Styela clava: one gene and its partner. The protein of the gene in region 1 interacts with the protein of each later gene in a biochemical or structural test. Links are inferred from orthologs where the notes say so. Each region holds a gene or a part of one and is shown in the gene's direction. Other genes may lie near its edges.

Region 1 (7,763 bases):
CCTGAATAGGATTGTGAATGTTTGATCATAATGGAATTTGAAGTCTACCAATGAAAATAGTTCGCCGGTAGGCCGTCTGGTCTAACCTACAGAATGGCAGTTCCACTCGACTGCGAGATAACCTTCGCTAGCGTGTTAAAGACGCAATTACGAAAATGGAACTGCAGATCCGTTTTAGATGAACACATGAATAGCTGCGTTCCTGGGCCTTCAAGCACAGAAAGATGTACTAACAACAACAGTTCCGTTGATTTTACCAAAGTAAATTAAGATGCCAGAGAATGTGATTAATGCTGGCATTGCTCGCATGTAATGAGCAATAAATCATTACGTCCATCTGAACTCCAAAATACCGCGACAAAAATTACTCCCGGTGAAAGACGTTGGCATCGGTTTCTTTGCTGCCAACTGCAAGCGAGTTAGATTTGACAGGGACGCACATTGACTAAGTTCGGGTTTCTGTCGGAGCAAAAGCCAATCTTTATTACCACAAAAACAAAATTTATAAACCGTCCTGATGTTGAAATCCGTCTAGCTATAAAAAAGACTGCGCCTAATACGATAAACCTGTCAGACAGTCCTATGAAGCGGGGAAATTTAAGGGGAAAGAATTCCACAGCTTGGGCCCAGTATAACATAGGCCATAGGGCATGCTGGCTCACAGATGTACTGATAAAAGGTATGAACAAATTGGAACTACTTCTTCGATTGGAAGTAATTTTAGTTATTATGTCGTCGAAGCAGTTGGACAAGGAATTGTTATGAAAATCATAAATGAATGATAATACTTCAAATTTTTTTTCTTTAACTGCTTGCGGGCGCGAGCGGGTCGCCAGCCTGAATGAATTTGCTGTTTTATTTTATCTCCTTTTGCCTGGGGTCTATCGCTGATCTCCCATTTCCATCCTAATTTGCTTCTCCCGCTACTGATTTCACTTTACCTTTGCTATCTTAAATATCTTTTTTTCCTCGACTGCTTTGAGGGTCTCGCTGATTTTTATTAAATTTCACTTGTTCCTAATTTCATTTTCGCTGATTCCAAGCCTAATTTTCTCGCTGATTTATATTTTCACTTTGTCTCCATTTTATTTATTTGACTGACTGCGGATTGGTTGCTGTTTTCCTTATTTATTTCCCCTAGCTAGACTGCTTGGTACTTACTGACTTTTATTATCTCTGTTTAGCTGTTTATTTATTTTCCACTCACTGGACTGCTTTCGGTTAGGTATACCGCTGCTTCATTCAATTCACAACTTGCTTGCTTGATTATATTTTTCCTTCACTGCTTTTGGTGATTCAATTATTTTTAATCTCCTTTGTCTCGGCAGCTATATTTTAAATCTTTGCTGCTTCAGCCAGTCTAGTTTCTTTCATTTCCCATCTCAAGTTTTTTTCTTTGGGCCTCCCTGATTTCCATTTTCACTCTCAGCCTTTATTTATTTATTGTCTGCTGACGGATGGCTGCTTTTTTAATTTTTTTCTAATTTTGATATCCAGGTTTCTTTTTTGGAACTTTAGGATAGTATAGGAGTTACATATTTATCCCGGGGGAAAGGAAAGCCGACGAGGCGGCTTAATTATATGACGAACCACGGTCTCTCGTCCGGTTTCCAGTCCAGGTCGGGTATGGGGATTAGTTAGCCAGTTATCTGTTTTCGGAAGCATGGACTTGATGGTGGAGGAAGCCATAACCGACCAGCGGTTACGTGAACCACCATACGGCGGCGAGGAGTCCAGCAATCCTCTCGCAGATGATCATCTGCGAACCCACGAAGGGTAATCAGAGATGCGGTGGCGAGCGTATTCCTAACGCTTAGCACGATGCGCCACACCGCCGAGCCTTTGTTTTTTATTCATCTAATTTCTCTCATAACTTTCTTTTTTAGTTAGTTTTGTGATTGCGCGGGCTCATATATGTATGTTGTAATTTACTCTTCCAATCTTGCTGTTATCGCTCCGTTTTTACCCGACTGATCGAGCGCCTTGCCCCGTTTCCTTGAACAGGGTGTTGTTAGGTATTGATTTGTATGTAATGCTCATCGTCATTGATTGATTTCGATTGCTGCGTCACAGCGATCTTCCCTGATTTCCATTATTTTGTATTTTTACTCCCACTTGCATATCGCTGAGTATATTTTTACCCACTCGATCTTTGGAGCGATTTTCACTCACTCTATACTTAATTCGGTTTAGTGGTCTGCTGCTGGCATCGTCAACTTGCTACATTTCTTTCACGGCTTGCGTCTCGTATGGCTGCCTGCCACTAGTTCCCATTTACCTCCCCCTTTTGCTCTCCTTGGCTGCCGCTCTCGATTGGTCGTTGTGCCTTTTCTTCCCTCGACCGCCTGTGACTCAATCTACCCGGTCTGGTTCGAAGACTTGTCCTCAATGTTTGACTATGTTGCTACGCTTCCCCTGCGCCACCGCTTCTGATGAAGATCGAGTGGATCAGAATCTTACTTAGTTACCGACTCCACGCTTGACAGCCCACGACAAGGCTAAATAACCCCGAAAAAATTTACTATATTTCTATCACCCGGAATAAATATGTAAATCCTATCCTACTTTTCTAAGTTTCACAGCTAATTTTGATGTCCGGTACCGTATCTACTCGAAATGGTATTGTAGAAGTTTTACCTCAGAATCGAAACGAGGTTTTTACAGTCGACACTGCTCCGATTTGACTGCGTCTTGCTTCATTCTACCAGCCACGTTCTACAGTCTCTACGTTCTTGCCAACGTACTCATGTTCGCGCGAATGTTCCACGGTCGCAAAAGCTTTTCCACATGATGCCGCTCTGCGTTTTTCATAGTTACGTGCAAGTTCTACCAAATGCAGAAAATGAGCTTCAAGCACGAGGTTATTCCAATTTCGCAGACGTTTGAAACGACCTGTCCTGCACAGATTTATTGAGTAGAATTCACGTCCAATAGATAGGTGCCGATATCAGAAGACGTTCTGTAACCACTGACCTCCAGACTCTTGGTGGATTAATAAGTAATTACAATTCACTTCGGATGGATAGGTGCCGATATCGTTAGACGTTACCGGTACCGATATGGAACCACTGACTTTCAGACTCTTGGTAGGAGTGGAAGTGGTGACTCCTCTGCGGCCCATGGGCCAGGGCCATGGCCCATAGAATTGGGTCTCGGCCCATCAGGCTATGGGCCGCGACTCACTTGGCTAACACAGACAGTCCCCGAACTCATGATAGAACTAGGCTATAATGTAAAAAATCGGATTTTTTTTGTCCTAACCCTAACCTGGTACACATACTACAGGAGTATATTTTTTTGGTTCGAATATTGACAATTTTGTGAAAATTGAAAATTTTGGTAAGATAATTGAATTTTTCCTGATGGGGCCGGCCCATGGACCGTAGTGGAGTCACCACTCTGCCACTCCTGTAGCTTAGTAGACCAGTAAACGGCAAAATTCGATTTGCCCATTTATTTTAGAAATTCGGCGTCGTAACATTTATTAATATGCCAGTCGTGATATTATCAATCACAGCAAAATACATCAAAATTATTATTTTTTTTGACAATTTTCACATTCTGTCATTTCAGCATTTTATGGCAGTATGGTGGGTTGAAAATGACAACACACTTACTGAAATTTGCTCGAAATTTGGGGAAGTAACTTCCAAGAAGTTGCTAAAAAATTGAGGTTTAAATAAACATTTTGACATCTGAACATGCAGACATGTCAAATAAAGATATCTACCAGCCAAGGCAATTTCACCATGTAATGTAACCTGGCATATGACTTAAAAACATACCTACTTGCTACTTCTGTACTTGCAAGATAGATTTCATCAACATTGGGTAAATTAGGTAAAAAATAACTCCTGCACTATGTGAGTGATCAGGCTTCATGCGGAGCTGTTTTATGCAACAAATAAATATGATATAATCTACTAAACGACATCTTACTGTCTTAGCTTGTGACAGTAGCCATAACATTGACCATTTTGTTGTCGATTTTTGGTACGGCAGCTTTAGCTCGTGCCATGGACATCGTTTGGAGGGTAGGTATATGGCTTATTCGACATATGGGACCTAGCATCTTCATAACTACCCTCGTTTGGACAGGGAGAGGGGGGAATTAAATTGTAACATGTTTCAATAGTATAATTTTAAAATTGAATACAATTAAAACTCAATCATTTCTAGTGCATTTTCTTTGCCATGGGTGACATTTAACAAAGATAAGCAACTGCAGAACTGGGGCTTACTAGCCAGGTTCAAAAAAGATTAGTTTAAACCTCTGGTTTGAATGCCTATTTGACTAGAGAAAAACTAACATACTTTTTAGTGCAAATCTTGTTTTCAATTAATCTAAAAAATTTGGGGCAATGGGGGCAGACTATCTGACGATGGTTATTCACTGCTTTCAACTCTCAGCATGGTCAAATCAAACTTCTGACTTTTCCATGAACCTCATTTCATTTGGACCTCTTGCAATTTTAATTACTGAAAAAAATCTGCTTCCATTTTAAAGCATTTTCAATGTCTTTTTTTATAGATTTTAGCTTACCCAGTTGTCTTATAACAACAGAATAATGGGAATTCTCGGTCTCTCAAAGTTGATATTCGACAAAGCCCCATCTGCTGTCAGAGAAAATAGCATTAAAAATTACTTCGGTCGAAAAGTTGCGATTGACGCCTCAATGGCCATTTATCAATTTCTGATTGCAATTAGACAAGATGGAAATCAATTAACAAATGATGAAGGAGAAGTAACTAGCCATCTTGCAGGATTGTTTTATCGTACAATTCGAATGTTAGACAATGGTATAAAGCCTGTTTACGTCTTCGATGGTAAACCTCCTCAGATGAAGTCTGGTGAGCTCGAAAAGCGAAAGGAAAGACGAGAGGAAGCTGAGAAGAAACTTGCGGAAGCAACAGAGGCAGGAGAGCAAGAAGAAGTTGACAAATTTCAAAGACGACTCGTGAAAGTCACTAAACAGCATATGGATGATTGTAAAAAGTTACTTACTTTTATGGGAGTCCCTGTCGTCTCTGCACCAACTGAAGCAGAAGCACAATGTGCTACTTTGGTAAAAGCTGGAAAAGTTTATGCAACGGCCACAGAAGATATGGATGCTCTTACATTTGCATCCAATAGACTTCTACGACATATGACATTCAGCGAAGCAAGAAAAATGCCAATACAGGAATTCACTCTAGAAAAAGTGCTTCAAGAAATGGAAATTACACAGGAACAATTCATTGATTTGTGTATTTTACTTGGTTGCGACTATTGCGGGTCCATTAGAGGTATTGGACCTAAACGTGCCTATGACCTCATCAAACAACATAAAACAATTGAAGATATTTTGGGGAATATTGACAAGAAAAAGTACACAGTACCAGAAGATTGGGCATTTGCTCAAGCAAGATCATTGTTTATTGAACCTGATGTTTCTCCATGTGATGACATTGAACTTAAATGGAAAGAACCAGATGAAGAAAAACTCATCGAGTTTATGTGCAAAGAAAAAGGTTTCAGTGAAGATAGAATTCGAAATGGAATCAAGAAGTTAATGAATAGTAAGAAGCAAAGTACACAAGGCCGTCTGGATGACTTTTTCAAAGTCAAAGTATCAGCATCACCAGCTGTGAAAAGAAAATCTGATCCCAAGGGCAAGAATACACCTGCAAAGAAAGTGAAAAAGGAATTCAAACGAGGAAAATGATCTTCTAGAAAATAATCAATATCAAAAACATTTTTGTGTATGCATAAGATACTCAAGAATAATCAATATCAATACTTTTATTGAGTCTGATTAGATAACAGAGCGAGTGAACATGTTCATTTATGGGAACAATGTCTTGTGTTACCTTGTAACCTTGTTGGTTAGTAGACTTGTTCCTATTTTGTAATAACGGCTATTTTGCTATTTTTTTCCCACCTTATGGACTCCAAAAATATTTCTGTGGAAGCCAGGATACCCAGGTGAATAAATAATCTACACCTCTTATCTCTTCGGCACCTAATTTGTGTATAACTTTGCGGTATATGCCACATTTAATTTGAATATATGCTCATTTTAGGGCTGCATTCATAAGGAAATATGAGATTTAAAATCAGTGGTATATTATTGAATAAAGAACTTGCTTATAACTTCATGTAATTGAAGTTTTAATCTCATTTCAACTCATTTGTTACACATTATTGAATAGACTGTTCTTTTTGTACTATTTTTCATACCTTGTTCCTCGTAAAGTTAGATTTTTTTCAAATCACAGCCTTTATGTAAATAAGCGGCCTTGTGTCTTTTGTTCTCTCTACCCCAGGATGAACATTTATCTTCTTTCAAAACAATCATTGAATGATATAATTTGTTATTAGCAATTTAGCATATCCATTTTTGTTTGTGTAGTATTTGTGATACATTGTCAAGAATTCCATTTTAAATAAATATGCATATCCTGGCTCGAGATCAATGAAAAGTTTAAACTTCGAAGTTTAAACCCTTATTATTTTTGTATTGAATGCTGTAAAAAATAATATCAACAAATCTTCTTCAGTGGTCTTTTTAAAATAAGGTTTTCAAATATATTGCCAGATGCTGACTTAATATACATATTATACATTCTCTCCGCTAGATGGTGCTCAAGATTAATAAAAATTAGATTTTTGTTCAGAATGTTTATCAGTTGGACTGGAATTTCGAAAAGATCATTCATTATTGATATTTATATAGCATTCAATTCTACTGTACTTGCATAACATTTGCTTATCTCGTTGTCAACCTATTATGTGCTTTGCCAAACTTTTTGATTGCCTCACTGCCATTACATTGACTCTTTTTATAAGGTTTTTGTACACATTGTTTTAGACATGCTTTCATTGCCCACTTCTGAAAAAGTTATCTCAATCATATTTTGTTAGCTTCAGCTTTGTTCACAATCTTAGCATATTGTTTTTTTTTTTCAGCTTATTAATAAAATTCAGAATAAAATTTTCCAATGAAAAATATACCTACTGAAAAGAGCTCAGTTGTTGCCAAGATGGCCGCGCAATCATGCGACGTTGAACGATTGATTTATAAATATTTTATAGATCGTAAAATGACCAAATTGGCAAAAAAGTTTCGGAAAATCACGGACACTAAATTACCAGAGTCGGATCAACCAACTTTGAAAGAGGCATATCAATTATGGAAGGAAACTCAAGTAGACCAAAAAACACCGAATGGAACAAGTACAACAAATGGAAAAACTACAAAAAGACCAAGGAAAGCCGATCCACCATCTAGCTCTGAAAGTGATATGTCATCATCCGATGAAGAGAAGAAAGTTCCAGCTAAAAAGGCTAAAATTATCCCCAAGAAAGAGGATTCTTCTGAATCCAGTGAGGATACATCCTCTGATGATTCTGAATCAGACAGTGATAAAAAGAAAGAAGTAAAAGCGACTGTAAATAATAAGAAAAAAGAATCTAGCTCTGAAGAGGATAGCTCAGAGGAAGATTCAAGTAGCGATGAAAAAAATAAGAAATCCGCATCTGGGAATCTAGTAAAAACTACAGTTTCAGAGTTGAATGGAAAGAAAGATCCAAAGAAGAGTAAATTAGAGAAAACAAGGGAACAAGAATCATCTTCCAGCTCATCTGAAGATTCATCAGATGAGGAGAACACTTCAAAAAGCGTTGCAGTAGTGAAAAAGCAACCTGTGAAAAAGAAAGAATCATCAGATTCCAGTGAAGACTCTGATGATGAATCTTCTGATTCTGAGGATGAACCGAAAAA
Region 2 (7,772 bases), on another chromosome or scaffold:
CAATTGATACAGCACGCGGTCATGCGAAGCCCGCCGAGAAAGATAACACCTAGAAATTTTTCGTAAGTTTCCAGACGGTACAAAAATATCACTGGTGTTTATTTTACCTATCACCTTACATATAGACAATAGGATTATCGTATTGAAGCACCCTGATACATACTGAAGTAAAGTGATTGGCACCTTATAATATGTCGCCAACAACAGGTATCTTTGATGCGACCACACGCGTAGGTTGAGGTCGCAATAAAGCCTTTTCCGTCCGTGTAAAACAGACACCACAGTTTTTATTAATAATAGTTTAGTCTAGCGTTACGTCGAGTGTAAGAAATACCTCGGTATGATATTTCGTCAGAGACAGAAACAGACGAAACACTTTCGCTTGTTCTGTGACGTTTACTTGCGCAAGAGTAGCCTAGTTGCGCAAATACGTATTAATATTTACTTAATACATTCAACACACAAAATATATCGGTGTTTCCCATCAAACGTCAAATTTATTTTTACCAGTAATTTTATGTCGCCGAAGTATAGTTTCACCTGTTTACTACATGAACTGCATGAATTTGATAAGCGTTAAGTTTACAGTTCCTAACCTGAGAATGGCATAGTCTAACTTAGTTTTGATTCTGAATGGATCTGCTGTATGCAGGCTGTTGATTTCAGTGAAATAAAAATACTATTGTCATCTAAAAAGCCTTTTGCGTTTTTGGTAATCCTACTATTAAAATATCGTCATCATAGAATATAGATAGATATTAGATTCTATTATTGCCAAAGCCAAAAACAAGAAGCGGGATATAGATTTCAATAAGAAAAACATAAATAACTCATTTTCACTAATTCTCAATCTACCTCGGATATTCTCGTCCGGGAAAAAAATGCCATGCGAATATATACACCTTTTAAACATGTCGCATTTGGGATGTAATTCGATATAATTTTTTTTTTTTCATTTCTACCCGATTTCTATAGCGGTTACAGGCATTTCTTAAAATTTTGAGAACGAGATTTACTAATATATTCTAATCGTTATAACAAAATAGACCTCATTTGACTCGCAAAATTTCTTACAAGTCAGGGCGGTAAGATAGACTACAGAACCACCAGTGGTATTAAACTTGTCCCTACTGAAATATATCTTTCCTGTAGCTATTAGTTCAATATATCTGATCATATTGCGAGTTGGCATTTAAACTAAAAAAATATAAAAGTGCGGTCTCGCACTGTTATTGCATCACCACTTTTATATCTTATTTTCTGATTGTGTCGTCTATCGTAGGTTAGTTAGAATATTTCAGATTTTAATATTGCCCCACTTTTTTCCTTTTAATATTGATGAGGATGCAGCAATAACGTAACCTACCATAAACTAACCTAGCCTAAGATAGTGGTGAGACAATATCAAAATCATAAATATTTAATTTTTTAAAGTACAGTACTCACCATTTTATACTGTGTGACTGTGTAGAACTGAAATTTTGCGAGAAGTCGATCGAGGTTTTTATATTGTAGAAAAGGGGGTTTCTCACTCGAAATTACAACAAGGGGCGTTTATGGAAGAATTCCCCAGAAGAGGCGATGATGTAATGGTCGACGTTTCATGTTTACGCTTAGTGCGCGTGACACATTGCTCAAAAGCGGTTTCGAAGAAGATCGCATTCGAGTTAGGCATAATTCGTTCAACATTTTGTAAGTAAATGTTGAATATTATAATTTGTTGATCTATTTTAGTTCAACTCATTCAGTTTCAGAAGCAACAAATGAAAAGCAAAAATTGTTAATCTTCGTTTTTACCGAAACTACTTATTCACAGACGACTAAAGCCACAAGTGTCGAAACTATATATATTGCGAAAATATAAGCTGATAGTTAGCTGCGAAACAAAAGAGTTTCGACTTGTATCGTATCTTTCTATTTTTATTTTCTTCTTACTTTCTCTCTTTATGAAAATAAAACTCCTGACATTTCGGTGAATTGATACCTTGAGGTTATGTACAAATAACTTGATGCGATATCACTTTTTCATAACCGCTAGGTATCAATTCAGCGAAATGTCGTGCATCAATTCTTAAATTCTTGTATCCCTGATAAACATCTATTTCATTCAACGATTTCTGGTTTTTTTGTTTTCGGGGTGGATTATATCAGAAACATCTCCAATTTCAGCTACGCGGTTCAACAGCAAATAAGCATACGGTGTTTCCCCGAATATAGGACAGGGTGGTATTTCAATTATCTTCCAAAAAATAGCACTAGGGCTCATTTTCGGTGATGTGTTTCAATTTCATTTATTAAAAACGAAATTACAAAGTAGAAAATAACGAGATTTTCAAATATGGAAACCGATATCCCTTTACTTATAAATAACGCGTTTTTATTAAAAAAAAAAAAAACTGCTAAACATAGATTGATTTGAAATAAACCATATCACCATCCTCTGGAATGTCTTGCATGCCAATGAAGATTTAATTTAATTGAATTTTTTGTCGAATTTTTGCACCTGTAGTTTCATGTCGACAATGAAAGGTCTCATCGATTGAGAACTTCATTGAACCTTATCGTCTCATATACATAGATTAATCATTTAAAACGCGTGGGAGAGATTTCTTTCTATCGACTAAGTCAAAAGATACTATCGCTATGTCTTATTTTAAGGGGGAGGGCTTATAAAATCATTTTCAAATTTGAGGCTAGGTTTTATTTTCGGGAAAACAAGGTAGTATGTTTTTTTAAATGCCTGGTATCAAACGTTTTGAAAACCTTTTCACCCAAGCGTATTGGCAAAGCCAATATAAGGGAAATTACATAAACTTCTTCAATGGAACCAGTCGGGAGCGATTGCAGTTCCTGATTATGGAACGAAAAATATTCCCATCAGCAGTTCCCATAGTTTGTAATTGGTGGAGTTCATCACCCATTGATTCAAAAAAAAAAAACTGTAATTTAAATTAAAGGATCAGGCTTATACAATCAAAATTTGTCAGCTATCGTAATGGGGAACCTATAACATTTTATCTACAAATATTTGCTTTGGTGCGGGATTAGCGATATATATTTTTTTCAATTCCTTCTTTCCGATATATTCACTTTTACTATCGTATCTATGAATTATCAAAAGCCTATAGCTGAAAAGAATTTTTTTTATTGCGCCATTACGTAGTTATGGGTTACTAAGTAAGTAAGAAACTTTATGGTAATTACGTCATTGAAACAAGATAAATCCAAGCGCTTGAGAATGGAATCACTCAATACGGATTACAAGAAGTAGTTTGTGTTGTTGCAACAAAAATACTGCGGTTAGTTACTGCACCACCCTGTCCATATATTTGTAAAATGCTGTTATTTTGGTTTCAATATATTTGGGGCTACTCGGAGCAAATTAAGTTTATTTTGAAAATATATGCCAGTACATGGGTTATCCGCTGTAGATCACAATTCTCTGTTTCAAGTAAGTCACCGACTCAGCATGCCATGGAAAGATTTTTAGGTGGACCACAGAACTATTAAAAAATGCCACAGTTGATTTATGTCACTATCAATAATTTTGATTGCACTAACAATGATTGTTTTCTGAGTAATAAGTTTCTTTCTAATTATTAAAGTGAAAGTGTCCATTTTTACAGAAAGATTTGGATTTTTTTTCTAGTTTATCACTTGCAAAAATGTATGGGTCACAAGAATTTTTGGGCAGCGAAAATTGGCCACAAAAGTAAAAAGGTTAAGATTTGAGAACCACTGCCCTAGATGGATAGATATGCATAACTACCGTGTTTCCCGAAAATAAGACTGGGTCTTATTTCATTTTTTTCGAAAAATAACACTAGGACTTATTTTAGGGGGATGTCTTATATTTTCATTTATCAAAAACAAAATTATGAAGTAGAGAATTACAAGATTTTCAAATATGAAACCGATATCAAATTACTTTTAAATAACACGTTTTTAACTGCAAAATAACTGCAAAACATGGATTACCAATCATTCAAAAAGTTTAGGAGAAATTTCTTGCTATCAACTACCGGTAGGTCGAAAAAAAATCACGTTATTGACCAGGTCTTATTTGAAGGGGGTGGTGGCTTATATTAAAATCATTTTTAAAATTAAGGCTAGGTCTCATTTTCAGTGTAGGTCTTATTTTCGGGGAAATCAGCACAAGAAGCAAAAATACTGCGGAGAAACTAACAAAAATGCGTATATAAATTTTTGCACTAACACGAACAACAATTTAGCAATACGAATTATAGTTATGAACATATTCAGGATGCGGAACGCATCATTCCAATTTTCCGAAGAACTAAGAAAGAAAAAATGACCGGGCATTTTATATAGAACTACGTTGCACCTACAACACAGAACTCACGATAAAGAATTTCATGCAAAGACAATTAGAACAATCGTTAGAATTCCATGGATGAACTCAATAAAAATCTGGCAACTAAGAATAGCTTAACACTTTCTTATGGGGGATCCCCCCGATTCACATTGCCGCGCTTGTTCAATTGTGGAATTTGCGAGTCGCTTATGCTTTTAAGTCACTAAAACAGGATGCGTTTTCGAGCAAAAGTTGTTGATATCGGATGTGTGCACCACTTGACAAGTGAGTACTATTTCCAGGCTGTTCAAGGAAAGAAGTAAACTATTTACCCATAGTTTCAAATTATGTAGGCTAGGTCTATATAAAACTAACACTTTAGTCTAGATACCGGTACCGTCAGGCGTGTGGTACCGGTACCGTATCGTACTCAAACCGGGTTCAGGGATATTTCCCTATAATATAATATCAAAACCGTGAGAGCTAGTACATCCATACATGGTTAACATACCGTGAGTAAGTAAGTGTTAGTTAGAATTATTCAATTTATGCATTGTATTTCAGGAGTTGTGAATACAATATCCAAACTTTTAAAGAAATGCACCCTCCGTTTCACTTCTGAAAAAGTTTATTTCATTCTACCAGATCAGGTTTCTAATGGAGGGGTCAGCATGTGGTGTGAAATCAAGCAGGTATGTGTTTTCGTATTAGATATAATGTGTTGGCCAATTTCAATGATAATTGAGCATTCAGGGAACTCAATCATTGTCAGAGTGGCACCCAATCAGCTTCTACTTTTTGGATTTACATATTTATCCCGGGGTAGAGGAAAGACTCTTTAATCGGCCTCTCGTCCGGTTACCAATCCATGTTGGGTATGGGATTAGTTAGCCAGTTATTTATTTTCGGAAGCATGGACTTGATGGTGGAGGAAGCCGCAACCGATCACATGAACCACCCTACGGCGGCGAGGAGTTCAGCAATTCTTTCGCACATAGCTATCCCCGGATACACGCAGTGTAATCAGAGGTGCGAATGCATTCCTAACGCTTAGCACGATTCGCCACACCGCCAAGCCTTAATTTTTGTTTTCATATAAAAAGTAATTTTTCAAACTTGAGTTATCCGGATACAGAGTATTGAACGATATGCATTTTTCTAGGAAAACTTCTTTGATGAATACCAGATGGAAGGAGTAAACAAGGATTGCAATGAAATCTATCTTGAGGTTGTAGCAGAAAATTTAAGTCGAGCACTGAAATCTGCACAAGCTGCAAAAGCATTAAAAATCAAACTGACGAAGAAACAAAGTCCATGTCTATCACTAGAAGTTGAATTGGTAAAGATATATAGAATTTAAGACATAAAGGGCTTTATTCATTGATAATTGCCATATAATAAAACATTTCAGCCATCTCTAGCGTCTGACTCGCGGACTGTAACACATGATATTCCTGTAACAGTAATACCAAGAAGACTGTGGGGAGATTATGCAGAGCCAAATATGCCAAACTACCATGTGACAATATTTATGCCTCCATTGAAAATGGTGAGATCGTTTTAAATACCAATAACAGTGTGTTTAATCAATATGCCTGCCTGAATTTGCATATTAATTTATACATATATAGTTTTTATAGGGCCTAAAATTATTTTTATGCCATCTTCAATTTGTATGAAAAAAAATAATTGTTATCAGGTCAAGACAATTGCGGAAAAAATGAAAAACATCAGCTCATATTTGATTCTTGCTGCAAATCAGCAGGGTGAGATGTTGATGAGAGTTGACACAGATCTTGTTACAGTGAAAACTAGGTAAAGCTGTTCAACATATTATTTCAAAGTATCTGCATGTCCGAAACTGCCAATCATGTGTCTGGTTTTCTGCTTTCTTGTATACATTTGTCCTGACATGTAGTCATCAGATTAATATTTCAAGGACTATTATTACAATAATTGAATAATATTATTACAATAACTCGAAAATTTTTTGCATTTCATTTTTGTCACGAAAGACATCAATAGATCGTTTGAAGATATTTGGTTTGATATTGATTGGCTAAAAATGACACCAGGACATATCTACAGTATAGTCCAGTGCTGTGAGGTCAGAGTTTGGTTGTCCTAGACCAGACAAGTATGGCCCGTGAGCGAAATCCGGCCCGTCCGATGCTGCCACGACCAAACTTTGATGTTTTAGTTAAATATAACTCAAGGTATTTGTTGAGATTGCGGTTAAATTTAGTTTTGGCATGAGGTTTATTGTTTTCCACTGTTGCTTTTGTAACACTGTAAACATTGTTCATAAAATGAAACTCTTTACCTCATACTTACATGGCCCGCCAGTCTAGGTGGGCAAATTGGCCCCTAATCTAAAAACCGTGCCCACACCTGTCTGCCCTAGACTCTGCAGCCCTAGTATAGTAGGTGGTATACATGACAAAGTGCGAGCTCGAATTTGTGTGCTGTTTCCGATATTTTGACAATAAAAGCAGACATTTTTTATGTTTTTAGTTTTCAAGATCTGGATATCCCTGATGTGCGCATGGAAGATGAAGAAGTCCAAAGTGTCTCTCACAGGCTTGCTTGGCCTCCTGATGAGTTTGCCAGTGCTAGAATAGATATCAAAAAATTTCTGCAGTTTTTGGCAGGACAGATTATAAACCCAGAGCGTGTGATTTGCAGTAAGTGTTTTTGGACATGAATTGACCTATGTATCTTTTTGTTGTTGTTGTGAAAAATTTGCTTTTCTCTTCAACTACTCGACGAATTGTTTTAAAATTTCAGGTGGTGAGAGCTTGTTGCTATTATTTTTATTTATTTCAAAAATTTCTGTGTGATGGCCTCATTAAAATTGGAAACTGTGCACCGTAGTCACATCTCAGTGATTTGGTGGTTAGACTACTTGCAGTGTAAAAGATTTGATACTACTTGTTTTGGCCTTTGTGTCTATTTTGAGCAATGGCCAGTTTTCAGTTTTTGTTAAATATTTATTTAATTCCCCAAATTTGACATGTGCTATAACAAATGAAATGTCATTTTTTGCAGATATCGTTGATGGGACCATAGTACAATTTTTCCTTCTTCATGATGAATTATCTCTGCAATATTTCATACCTGCCATAGCAAGATGATACTTCAATATGTGTTAATGTTTTTCTGAACTTGTTAATATATATTTTTTGTTCAACTTTGTATGTATGTGAATTTTCCTGTTGCCCAAATTGGTGGATAAAATGTAGTTATCATAGAGAAAACATAGACAGGTCATGCCAAGCTCTTATTCAATGGTTGCAAGTTTGGGCTGACCAGACACTCAAATGACTTGGAACCTTGTGAAGACAGAGGAACGAAGGTGTACTTATAGATGTTGAATGGCGGTGGTTGAGAAAGAAATGCTGCTATATGAGACAAGCAGGAATAGGCCAGAAAATATGTGTGACGCACTAACTAAGAA

What was found.
Region 2: the proteins of flap endonuclease 1-like (region 1) and checkpoint protein HUS1-like form a complex in vitro, tested with the Homo sapiens proteins (2 studies listed by BioGRID). The link is inferred for Styela clava from reciprocal best matches to the Homo sapiens genes FEN1 and HUS1.

Annotation. Positions count from the first base shown.
Region 1 is NC_135261.1:11,300,609-11,308,371, forward strand, and holds flap endonuclease 1-like, read left to right. Parts: upstream 1-4,508; 5' UTR 4,509-4,568; coding exon 4,569-5,705; 3' UTR 5,706-6,947; downstream 6,948-7,763. Other genes in the region: uncharacterized protein LOC120330391, read left to right, coding at 6,982-7,763. UniProt on the Homo sapiens protein: Structure-specific nuclease with 5'-flap endonuclease and 5'-3' exonuclease activities involved in DNA replication and repair.
Region 2 is NC_135253.1:6,347,721-6,355,492, reverse strand, and holds checkpoint protein HUS1-like, read left to right. Parts: upstream 1-4,457; 5' UTR 4,458-4,548; coding exon 4,549-4,600; intron 4,601-4,879; coding exon 4,880-5,007; intron 5,008-5,477; coding exon 5,478-5,654; intron 5,655-5,726; coding exon 5,727-5,864; intron 5,865-6,014; coding exon 6,015-6,130; intron 6,131-6,829; coding exon 6,830-6,999; intron 7,000-7,363; coding exon 7,364-7,449; 3' UTR 7,450-7,510; downstream 7,511-7,772. Other genes in the region: uncharacterized protein LOC120327064, read right to left, coding at 1,447-1,449. UniProt on the Homo sapiens protein: Component of the 9-1-1 cell-cycle checkpoint response complex that plays a major role in DNA repair. The 9-1-1 complex is recruited to DNA lesion upon damage by the RAD17-replication factor C (RFC) clamp loader complex.